Drosophila melanogaster: one gene and its partner. The protein of the gene in region 1 purifies or fractionates together with the protein of each later gene. This does not show direct contact. Each region holds a gene or a part of one and is shown on either strand. Other genes may lie near its edges.

The links.
Region 2: the proteins of qkr58E-2 (region 1) and CG5641 purify together in Drosophila melanogaster (affinity purification with mass spectrometry, with the first as the bait; one large-scale study listed by BioGRID). This does not show direct contact.

Annotation. Positions count from the first base shown.
Region 1 is NT_033778.4:22,413,782-22,419,596, forward strand, and holds qkr58E-2 (quaking related 58E-2), read left to right. Parts: upstream 1-2,027; 5' UTR 2,028-2,284; coding exon 2,285-2,585; exon of another isoform or gene 2,586-2,646; coding exon 2,647-3,250; intron 3,251-3,314; coding exon 3,315-3,415; intron 3,416-3,470; coding exon 3,471-3,715; 3' UTR 3,716-3,855; intron 3,856-3,911; exon of another isoform or gene 3,912-3,921; 3' UTR 3,922-5,220; downstream 5,221-5,815. Other genes in the region: qkr58E-1 (quaking related 58E-1), read right to left, coding at 320-501, 627-728, 789-1,293, 1,359-1,614; mRpS29 (mitochondrial ribosomal protein S29), read right to left, coding at 5,340-5,815.
Region 2 is NT_033777.3:12,427,295-12,431,508, forward strand, and holds CG5641 (uncharacterized protein), read right to left. Parts: upstream 1,989-4,214; 5' UTR 1,908-1,988; coding exon 1,743-1,907; intron 1,681-1,742; coding exon 1,552-1,680; intron 1,491-1,551; coding exon 594-1,490; 3' UTR 543-593; downstream 1-542. Other genes in the region: NANS (N-acetylneuraminic acid synthase), read left to right, coding at 1-542; CG5245 (uncharacterized protein), read left to right, coding at 2,376-3,881; Prosalpha2 (proteasome alpha2 subunit), read left to right, coding at 4,147-4,187. UniProt on the Drosophila melanogaster protein: May regulate transcription of undefined genes.

The DNA of each region.
Region 1 (5,815 bases):
TGATTTGGCCTCTGTTCAGGCATAGTGCATTTAAAATCTTGTTAAAATGGGATGGGTTGCCGTTTTAATAATTTTGGTACGCGGCCTTGTTTCTTTTTCTTTTTTGGTTTCTGTTTTTTTCTGCGTTTTCAATTTATCGGCGCTTAGTTGGATAGATTTTGTTTTGTTTTCGAGTTTTTTTTTTGTTTTGATTTGCGCGAGTTAAGTTTAAACGTTTACATTGCTATTTGTCGTATTCTTTTTCTTTTCTTCATTTTGTTTATTTTTACATGCCTGCTGAGGGGAAGAGATTATTGGTCTAGAAATCTAGGTATCTTACCTGGATAGGCCGCCGCGTAGGAAGAGGAGGACGAGTGGGGGTGATACTCACGCCGATAGTCGCGCTCGTAGGAGCTACTGTCATACTGGGCGTGGTGGGTCGAGTGCTTTGATGTTTGGGGCGGCGGTGTGGCATAGCGATCATATTCTCCATGGTGGTCATATAGCTCGTGGTCCCGTGATCTGTTGAAAAAGTAAGGGATTAAAGGAGGGTTTTCTAACAATGGTTGATAACACAGATGCACGCTATTGAAAGCATAAGAATTTAACTTCTAAAGGCATCATTAACGCGATTGAACTTAGCTAACCTGTGCGTCTTTACGATCCCATAGTTGGGATCGTCCATCACATATCGAGCCTTCTCCAGAATCGAATAGACTTTGGGCTTTGAAGAAGCAGGGGGCGGGGTGCTGTGACGAAAGGAATTCCTTAGTAACCAATTAAAATTCAACGAAAATTGACAAGCCTACCGGGAACTGTAGGCGCCATGATCGCCATAGGATTTGGAATAGTGGTGAGACTTCTTGTACATGCGCTCCTTGCCATCCATCTCGCGTAGTTGCTCCAACCGAATGTCGTCGTTGGCGTCGGGTATCATAAACTTGCGGATCTCGCCTAGCGCATAGCTGATCCTGTGATAGGCCTCCGCTGGAGGGGCCACCGTGGATATCTCCACGTGCAAATCGCGGCTGAGATGGGCGTACTTTGGATTTCCGGAGCTGCGAAGCTCCTCCTCCTTACCGTGGTCGCGCATCGAGTTGCGCCCCATAACCACCATTTTGCACATAGTCTCTTCCTGCAGCTGCCGCAGTGTGTTGCCCTTGGGCCCCAGGATCTTGCCAACGAAATTGAACTTGGGGTACTCCTTGATGGGGAACAAGACTTTCTGGGCCACGCGGATGGGCTTTTCGCTGTACACGTTGGCATATATCTCGGGCTTTGGTATGCGTCCGCTGACCAAGATCTTCTCCACCTCTGCGGGGCCATGAAAAATTGCAATTAGATCCACTATAGCTTACATGTCGCAGCGCCTAACTCACCGTCGTCAAGTAAGCGCTTGGTGATGATGTGCTTCTTCTCGAGCGTCTTCTTTTCCAGCAGGCACTCCTGCAGATACGCGTTGGTCTTCTCATTCAGCTGGGGCGTGTCCCGCAGGGCGGCGTGGCTGGTGGTGTGTCCGCCGCCATCCGCCTCAGGGGTCTCTGGAGCACCGGTAGCCGCTGGCTCCTCGTCGCGTCGCTTCCGCTTGTAGTCGGCGGCGTCCTCGTTGTAGTCTCTGTCGTAGTCGCGCGGCATTGCGTTTTGTAGGATTTCTGGCCTGGAGGATTCGTGAATTTTAAAACTCCTACTCTTGAATACAAAATTCTACTATTGCAGAATTAGTTGGCTGAAAAAATATGTATGTGGTAGGACATCGATAGGTAAATCGGCATCACCGATTCGATAGCGTATTATCGGTTACTGCCGATAACAACCCGCCATCATGTGCATTAGTAGTTTATGACTTATCAATTTTATTAAAAACTTTCCCATAACAAAGAGAGCATTTAAATTATATTTGTAATTTAAAAATCACTAAGTGCATATTATAAATTATTGCCATGCACCTGACGACGCATCTATGTTAATATATAGCGTTAGATAGTGTCTGCAAGCCGATAACAACTATGCGCCCTTAACAGCACCGTCGATTGGCAGCGAACAGCACGCTGCAGAAGCACGAGAGACAGCCCGAGAGACCGGAGTTGCCGGACCGAGCCGCTGACATAGTAAATGTCCGAATAAAATACACACTTGGAAAAAGAGAGAAAAATTAGGGCCATTGGGAAGGCTGAAGTGTGCTAAGTTAGCAATCATACCGAATCGACAGCAAAAGCGATCGCCCGCAATCTGCGCACGGAAAATCCGAGACTCGGCGACTTAGCAGGACGATAGAGCGACAGCGATCCCGAAGGCAGGACGACAAATGGCGGAGAACGGACTGCGCGTGCCAGGGTCATCCGCGGTGGCCTCTGCGGTGGCTTCCACTGCGACGGGAGTCGGCGGTGGATCAGCAGCGGGAACTGCGGGGGCCGGGACAGGAGTGGTGCCCACCGGCGTCAGCGGCGGGACGAGCAACGGGGAGCATGAGAACGAACACAACGCCAACGCAGACGGCGAGAAGGCCCAGCCGGCGCCGGCGGTCCAGAAGTACATGCAGGAGCTCATGACGGAGCGATCGCGCATGGAAAACCACTTCCCCCTGGCGGTGAAGCTAATTGACGAAGGTAAATTGATTTGTCAGGGGCACTTCATGGTAATTACTTTGATTTCCCTCTGTTTTTGCAGCTCTGGAGCGTGTGCAGCTAAACGGACGCATTCCCACGAGAGACCAGTACGCCGATGTCTACCAGCAGCGCACCATCAAGCTGTCCCAAAAAGTGCACGTGCCCATCAAGGACAAGAAGTTCAACTATGTGGGCAAGCTACTGGGGCCCAAGGGCAACTCACTGCGTCGCCTGCAGGAGGAGACGCAGTGCAAGATCGTCATACTTGGTCGCTTCTCAATGAAGGATCGCGCACGTGAGGAGGAGCTGCGCAACTCCGCGGACGCGAAGTACGCCCACCTGAATCTTCCTCTGCACGTCGAGGTGTCCACCATTGCTCCGCCCGCCGAGGCGTACGCTCGGGTGGCGTATGCCCTGGCCGAGATTCGGCGGTACCTCACGCCGGACAAGCACGATGACATCCGCCAAGAGCAGTACCGCGAACTCATGGAGGATCCGGAGGCGGCCAAGAAGCTGACGCTTCGCCAGCTGCAACAGCAGTCGAATGCGGCAGCTAGTGGTGCAGGAGGAGGAGGCGGTGGTGGAGGCGGAAACGGAAATGGCGGCGCAGCTGGATCCGGCAGCAATAATGGCAATGGGAACCAGCGCTCCGGCGGCAACTACAGGTGGGTTGCAGTTCAATGTCCTCTACGAGCCTCGAGTCTAGCTAAACTCCCATGTTTCTTACAGACAAAAGTTTCAGCAACAATCACACTATCGCCACAACGAGGAGACTGTCTATTTTCGCTCACACAACAATGCGTACCACCAGCCAAAACCCTATGTGCCAGGTAAGTCTGGGCTCTCCTGGTCCATAGACCATAGATTCTATGTTCGCTTTTGCAGCCGCCCAACGGGGCAATGCCATGCACACCACCTTGCCACCGCAAGCAATTGTGCGAGCCTCACCGCCCGGAATGGTCGTCAGTGCGGCCAGCTTCAATGGCCGAAATGCCGGACTGGGTAATGCCGGCGGTGGCGGAATCATGGCCAATAGCATCGTGGCCACCACTGGCGGTGGCATCGGTGGCGCTGTGCCGCCTAACATGCGTTACCGTCCCGCTGCCCCCTACCAGTTTGTCAAGAAATAATACAGATGGGAGGATGCACCGCCCGCTGCCGTTCGCTGTTTGTTCAACTATTCCTCACCATCATTGATGCCTCATCCGGAAGTATTCACGCCCATCTGTCATACCCATCCAAACACCCACAACCACACACAGCTCCAAAGGTAGATGTAGTAACTATGAGAACATTGGAAACTTGTCATGCATTGATTTCATCAAGATTTCGGCAGGGTGGAAACCAAAACGAAACGAATGAGTAAATCTATGTTTAAGAAAACTAGCCTAAGTAGACAAATGCTCCGAGGAACAGACGAACACCTCAGCCACCCAACCAAAACCAAAACTAACCGACCAGACAAACACCCACCACCCCACACGCACGCAACCTCTTCTCGAGGATTGGGTTCGAAGGATCACGAGGGTCTGCGATCTAAGACTTTGGAATCCGTGTGTTGGGCCCTGCGAGCATTTGGAAGAGAAGAATTGAAGAAGAAGAACGAGGAGGAGGTGGAGAACGCCTCGATGTTGGATCGGGCCGAATCGAATGGACGCATTCAAGGTTGGTCCCAGTCGAGCCAAATGTCCTTGTTTTGTTTTGTCGCATATTATTAACATTTTAATTTTACCACTGACGCGTGCGAAGATTTCATCACTTTGTAATTTATATAAATGAATATATATATCTCCTTATGCTTACTATCATACGTATCCTTCTCGCAGTCGCTTTAACTCTATTGCTTTTCCAACTCTGCGTTTAAGTTTATCCCATTTTTTGTTGTAATGCGTTTTGTATTATGTTTACGTTTAGAAGAGGAGGCTTCTTATTTTTATTTGTTACGTCGCCAGGACAGAAAAAGCAACTGCAAACGATCATGAATAATATATATAACAAGTATATACAAGCGGTATGATTTATAACACATAGTGCATATGCAACACCACACGATCATACGCGCGTACGCATATTCAAAACATCAGCATATTCACCTAAAGCCGTAAAGTTTAAACCAAATGAACATTAGAAACGCAAACGAGAATCTAAAACACAGATCGGAGCAGGAGACCGATTTCGCCTACGATAATGCAAATGCAACGGACATAGCAAACCACATACGATCAGAGAAAATATGCAAACACATACATACATACATAATTGTTATTGTTGTTAAAAGCAACTAAAATTGTAATAGAAATTATGCAAATATACATACGAATATGACGACAAATGTTAATTGCAGCCTAGTTATTATTTTGTTCATTCACACCCACATCGGAACGGAACCTAAGATATAGTCTTAAATAAAGAGAGAGTGCAGCCAGCAGATCCGCACGGACTAGGCCTAGATCTAGACCTTGTTGACGATGCTTCTACAGCCACAAGACACACGAAACTTGAACACAGCCCTATTTGTATTGATTTTGAACATTGAACACACTGCATGTAAACCCCATACACATATATGTAAACGTACGAAAGTACTGTGCATCATTATGTATTGCTGATTATCGTTAAATAAATTTCCAATTTGAATTTCCCAGACTCATTATTACAAATTGAGTCGTGAGCGTACAGCAAGCAAACCGCATCGTTGTGGTAAATAACAAATCATTTAACTTTATTGGCTAACAAATACAGGACACTCGCTCTCTACAAGGCCTTCACGAGCTGCATCAGCGAGTAGGGGTTCTTGTTGCTCATGAACTTGAGCTGCTCCTCGAATCCCTGCGGCGTCTTGTTGATCCAGTGTCGGTCGAGATAGTAGCTGATGTAGCTGTGGAATTCCTTGTCCGTGTAGTTTTCCACATGGATGGGCACAAACGGATCTAGATGCTCGAAGCCCTCCTTGCCGAGCAGATAGCGCGGCATATAGGAGTCCATGTGGCCCTCAGTCATTGCGATCTTGTCCACGGACAGGATGCATACTCCGTTTGTCCAGTCGTAGTTGGTGATGTCGAGGAAGGGCTGTGTGAGCGTGACCCGATCCGGAGTCACGAGCTGCTTGTTGTCGGAGAAAATGCGAGTAACCGGATGGAAGAAGGCATTGAAGCCATCAATGGCCACCATTACTTTGCACTGTCCAGCGGTGGAGAGTTGTTTCAGTTCCGCAATTAGCGCCGCCGTGG
Region 2 (4,214 bases), on another chromosome or scaffold:
GCTTGCAGTTGATATCCGTCTTAAGGACACGCTTTCCCAATGTGGCAATTGGGTACTCGGGTCATGAGCTGGGAGTGATCATTAGCCAGGCCGCCGTCTTGCTGGGAGCACGCATAGTGGAGCGCCACTTTACGCTGGACAAGAGTCAGAAGGGCTCCGATCATCGCTGCTCCCTAGAGCCGCAAGAATTAAAAGCTCTGACTACAGCCATCACCAACTTCAAACTCTCTTCAGTTCCCATGCCTCCACAAGAAATAGTTAAAAAGTTAAATGGAGATGAGGAACTAGAGGCAGCTCTTCAGCACGTTGAGTCTAAAACCATTTTGCCGTGCGAGCTGCCCTGCCGAAATAAACTGGGCAAATCTATTGTGGCAGCTAGGAATCTCAATAAGGGTTACAGGTTGCAATTGGCAGATATGGCCATTAAAGTCAGTGAACCCAGCGGCCTGACAGCGGAGGATTTCTTGGACTTGGTAGGCAAGGAATTGGCAGACAATATTGGTGAGGATGAACCCATACTTGGGAATAGTATAATCAATTGAATCATGGGTTGGGAATTTAAATACACTTGTAAATGAATAGCTTGGTCTGTATTACTCGGCGCCATCGTCGCTGCCCTCTTCTTCGTTCTCATTCTCGATCATGTCGATGTCCTCCTCGAGGTCGCCCTCCTTCTTGTCCGTTGGCTTCTCGTAGACAGCGGTCAGCGGGGAAATGCACACGCCGTTCCAGACGGACATTTCGCGCACAACGCTGGTGTTGCCCTCCAGTCCCAAAATGTGTTTGTATCCGCCGTGGGCCAGCACGCGCAGTAGTGTCTGCGATGTGTAGCAGCACACATCCTGCTGCTCCAATGTCATGGCAGTGTGCACACGGATGTGTCCCGGCTCGGTGGGATCCGTGATGCCGGCCGAGCCCGGCAGGAAGAGCCCGGCGGAGAGTAGCTGAAAGACGCGACGGAAGGCCAGGTTGATGGGCAGTGCCTGTCGCGACGGGTTGTTCATGATGGCCAAATGGGCGATCAGGTCCAGCATCCAGGCCGACAGCGGCGAAAAAGCGTCGAAACGCCTAGTGAGATCCTTGAGAATGCGAATGAGCACCTTTATCGAGGAGTGGTGGGCATTTTCCTCAAACCAGCGCGTGTGCCGAATGGCAGCCAGATGGCTCTGCATCAGTTTGTGATCCAAATGGATCTCAGGCTCCAGCTTGCGAAGATTCTGCGGCAAGGTGGCGATCAGAATGCGCACCTTGGCATGCACGTTGGCGATGTCGAAGCCCCGCTCATGGATCTGTACGGTGTGCTGATCGCCCTTGGTCAGAACTTCAGTCTTCATGCTGGCCTTCAGGTCGGCCTCCACTTTTTTGGCCAGCGCATCGACGGCCTCCTTGGTGGGCAGGGTTTTGAGGATAACCACCACATCGGCTACATTGTTGCCCGTCAGTATGGTGCCCTTCTTGAAGGAGCCAACCTGACGCACTTCCTCCAGTTGCTGTGGAATAATCAGAACAGTTTAAACATGCAAATCACAAGGAGTTGTGTAATGTACTCACACAAGTTGTCAGATCCCCGGGTGCAACCACCAGATTGTCGAGAACAGCCTGCACCTTGGTCACTAGATTGCCAATAGCCGTCTGCTCGCTGGGAGTGGGACTCAGGTCCTGGTTACGCTTCAGCAGCGCCTGAAATGCAATTGTTTTCCCATTGCAGACACCTTGGATACGCAAGTAATTTATTGATTTACCGCAGTCAAAGCAGAATCGTCAACGGCGCCGGCGGATGGAACTTTGGGAAAGAAGACCTCCGCGAGGGTCAGATCGAAGGGGTGGCGCGGCACGAATGTCTTTTTGAACGGCGGACGTATGCCGCCGCGCATGGGGCGGCCACCTCGGAGAGCTCCGCGAACCATATTCCTGTGGGGATGAATTTTTAATAATTTTCGCAACGCCGGAGCGTTCTGTTTTTTTTAACAGATAGGTAAACAGTGTGACCGAAGCTGGACCGGTAAGGAAACGACATCAAAGATGGGCTAAGCGCGTTTTCAAAGTATACCGCATAAAATATTTTTAGAGGGCAAACATTTTGAACATTTAAACATTTTACTACATTAGAATGCATAAATTGATTGAATTAAAATACGGAGACTGGTGTTTTTAATCTGCATAATTTTGTAGTTGTAGCTAGTGCAACAAGGTTTCTATCAGTTCCAGGAAAACGCTTTGTTTACAAGCAAAGTGCTGATTTTTATGTTGATGGTCTTACCCTTTTGTTGTACAAAATTCCGGTGCTAAAATCGGATTAAAAGCGCATGAAGTTATTCGTAAGTAGTTGAAAATCGCACTAGAGATGAATCCTAATGTTTATAGTTTTCAGAACTATGGATCTGGCGAACGTAGATCAACGCCCCGTGAAGGACGAACCACCTCAAGAAGACACTTTCGAAGAAGAATTAATCTTCATTTCTAACAGCGACTTCGAAGAGCTTGAAAGCGAAATAAAGATTGAGAACTTCTGTAGTTATGGCAAAGATTTGGAGCCAGTTAAAGGCGTCCCGTCGAAGCTGAAGACGTGTAAATCCAAAATAGCAAAGAAGCGCCCCTTGCGAAAGCAAACAGATACGTTTAAGTGTACCCAATGCCAAAAGACGTTTACAAGAAAGGAAAACCTCGAATCACACTTGCGACTTCACGCAGAAGAACGTCCGTTCGAGTGTTCCCACTGCTCCAAGAGCTTTGGACGCAGGACGCATTACAAGCGACACTTGCTCAAACACGAAAAGCGACCTCATAAGTGTTCCCACTGCTCAAAAACCTTTACCCAGAATTCATCGCTTAAACAACATCTGCATGAGCACACAGGAGAGCGCCCCTTTAAGTGTACCCAGTGCTCGACGTCGTTCGCGCGAAAATCTCATCTTCAGGTACACTTACGTACGCATAGTGAAGAACGACCCTTTGAGTGTACCCATTGCGAAAAGGCATTTAAAAACAATTCACATCTCCAGGAACACTTGCGAACGCATCAGGAGGCACGGCCCTTTAAGTGTTCCCACTGCTCAAAGAGTTTTAAGCTAAGATCAATTCTACAAAAGCACTTGCTGACGCACGCCGAACGATCCTTTAAGTGTACCCAGTGCCCGAAGACTTTTCTGCAGAATGATAGTTTGCAAATTCATTTGCGAGTGCACGCGGGCGAAGACCCGTTCAAGTGTCCCCATTGCTCAGAGACCTTTGCAAGGAATTCGAGACTTCAACTACACTTACTTGAGCACGCTGGAAAAGAGCCCCTGAAGTGTTCCCAGTGCTCAGCCACCTTTGCCATGAGGTCACTTTATCGAGTCCACGTGCGTTTGCATACAAGAGAGCGACAGTACAAGTGCGCCGAATGCTCGAAATCTTTCTTCAAGAAGTCACATCTTGTGGAGCATCAGCAAGTGCATACGGGAGAGCGGCCCTTTAAGTGTACCCACTGTTTCAAGGACTTCAAATGTCGTACGCATCTTCGGGTGCATATGCTTGATCATATTGGAGAAAAGGTACCCAAGTGTTCCTACTGCTCGAAGGAGTTTAAACTAAGCTCGCAACTGCTGGTGCACCTGCAAGAGCATACTGGAAAAAACCAATTCGAGTGTCCCCACTGCTCGAAGTCCTATACAACTAGCTCGACTCTTCACATGCATTTGCGAACGCACACGGGAGAATTGCCCTTCAAGTGTTCGCACTGCTCAAAATTGTTTGCGAGAAGCGCAGAACACCAGGAACACTTGCGAACGCATACGGGGGAAAAACCCTACAAGTGTTCACACTGCTCAACCCGATACACACAAAAGTCCAGTCTTGGGCGACACCTGCGGCGAACCCTATGCGGCACTAAATCGGATTAAAACCAATTAGTTTAGAATTAACTTAGAAATAATGTAATAAGAAGTAAAGTAGGCGAAAATAAATAAATGAGTTTAAATATTTTTTTAAGTTTAGAAATCGGTAGTGTGCCCATTTGTTTAGTCCCCCTGATCGACCTGTACCATATTTGGCATTCAGCATTCGGTCACACTGCCGCCCAATTGCTGTGTCATTTTTGTTTCTGTGCGAAATAAGTCGGCTTTTTCATTTTACACATCAAATCACTGCATTTGCGGCCCAGGAAATATGGCTACCGAACGATACAGCTTTTCGTTGACCACGTTCAGGTGAGAGCATCGCTATAGCCGGAGCGG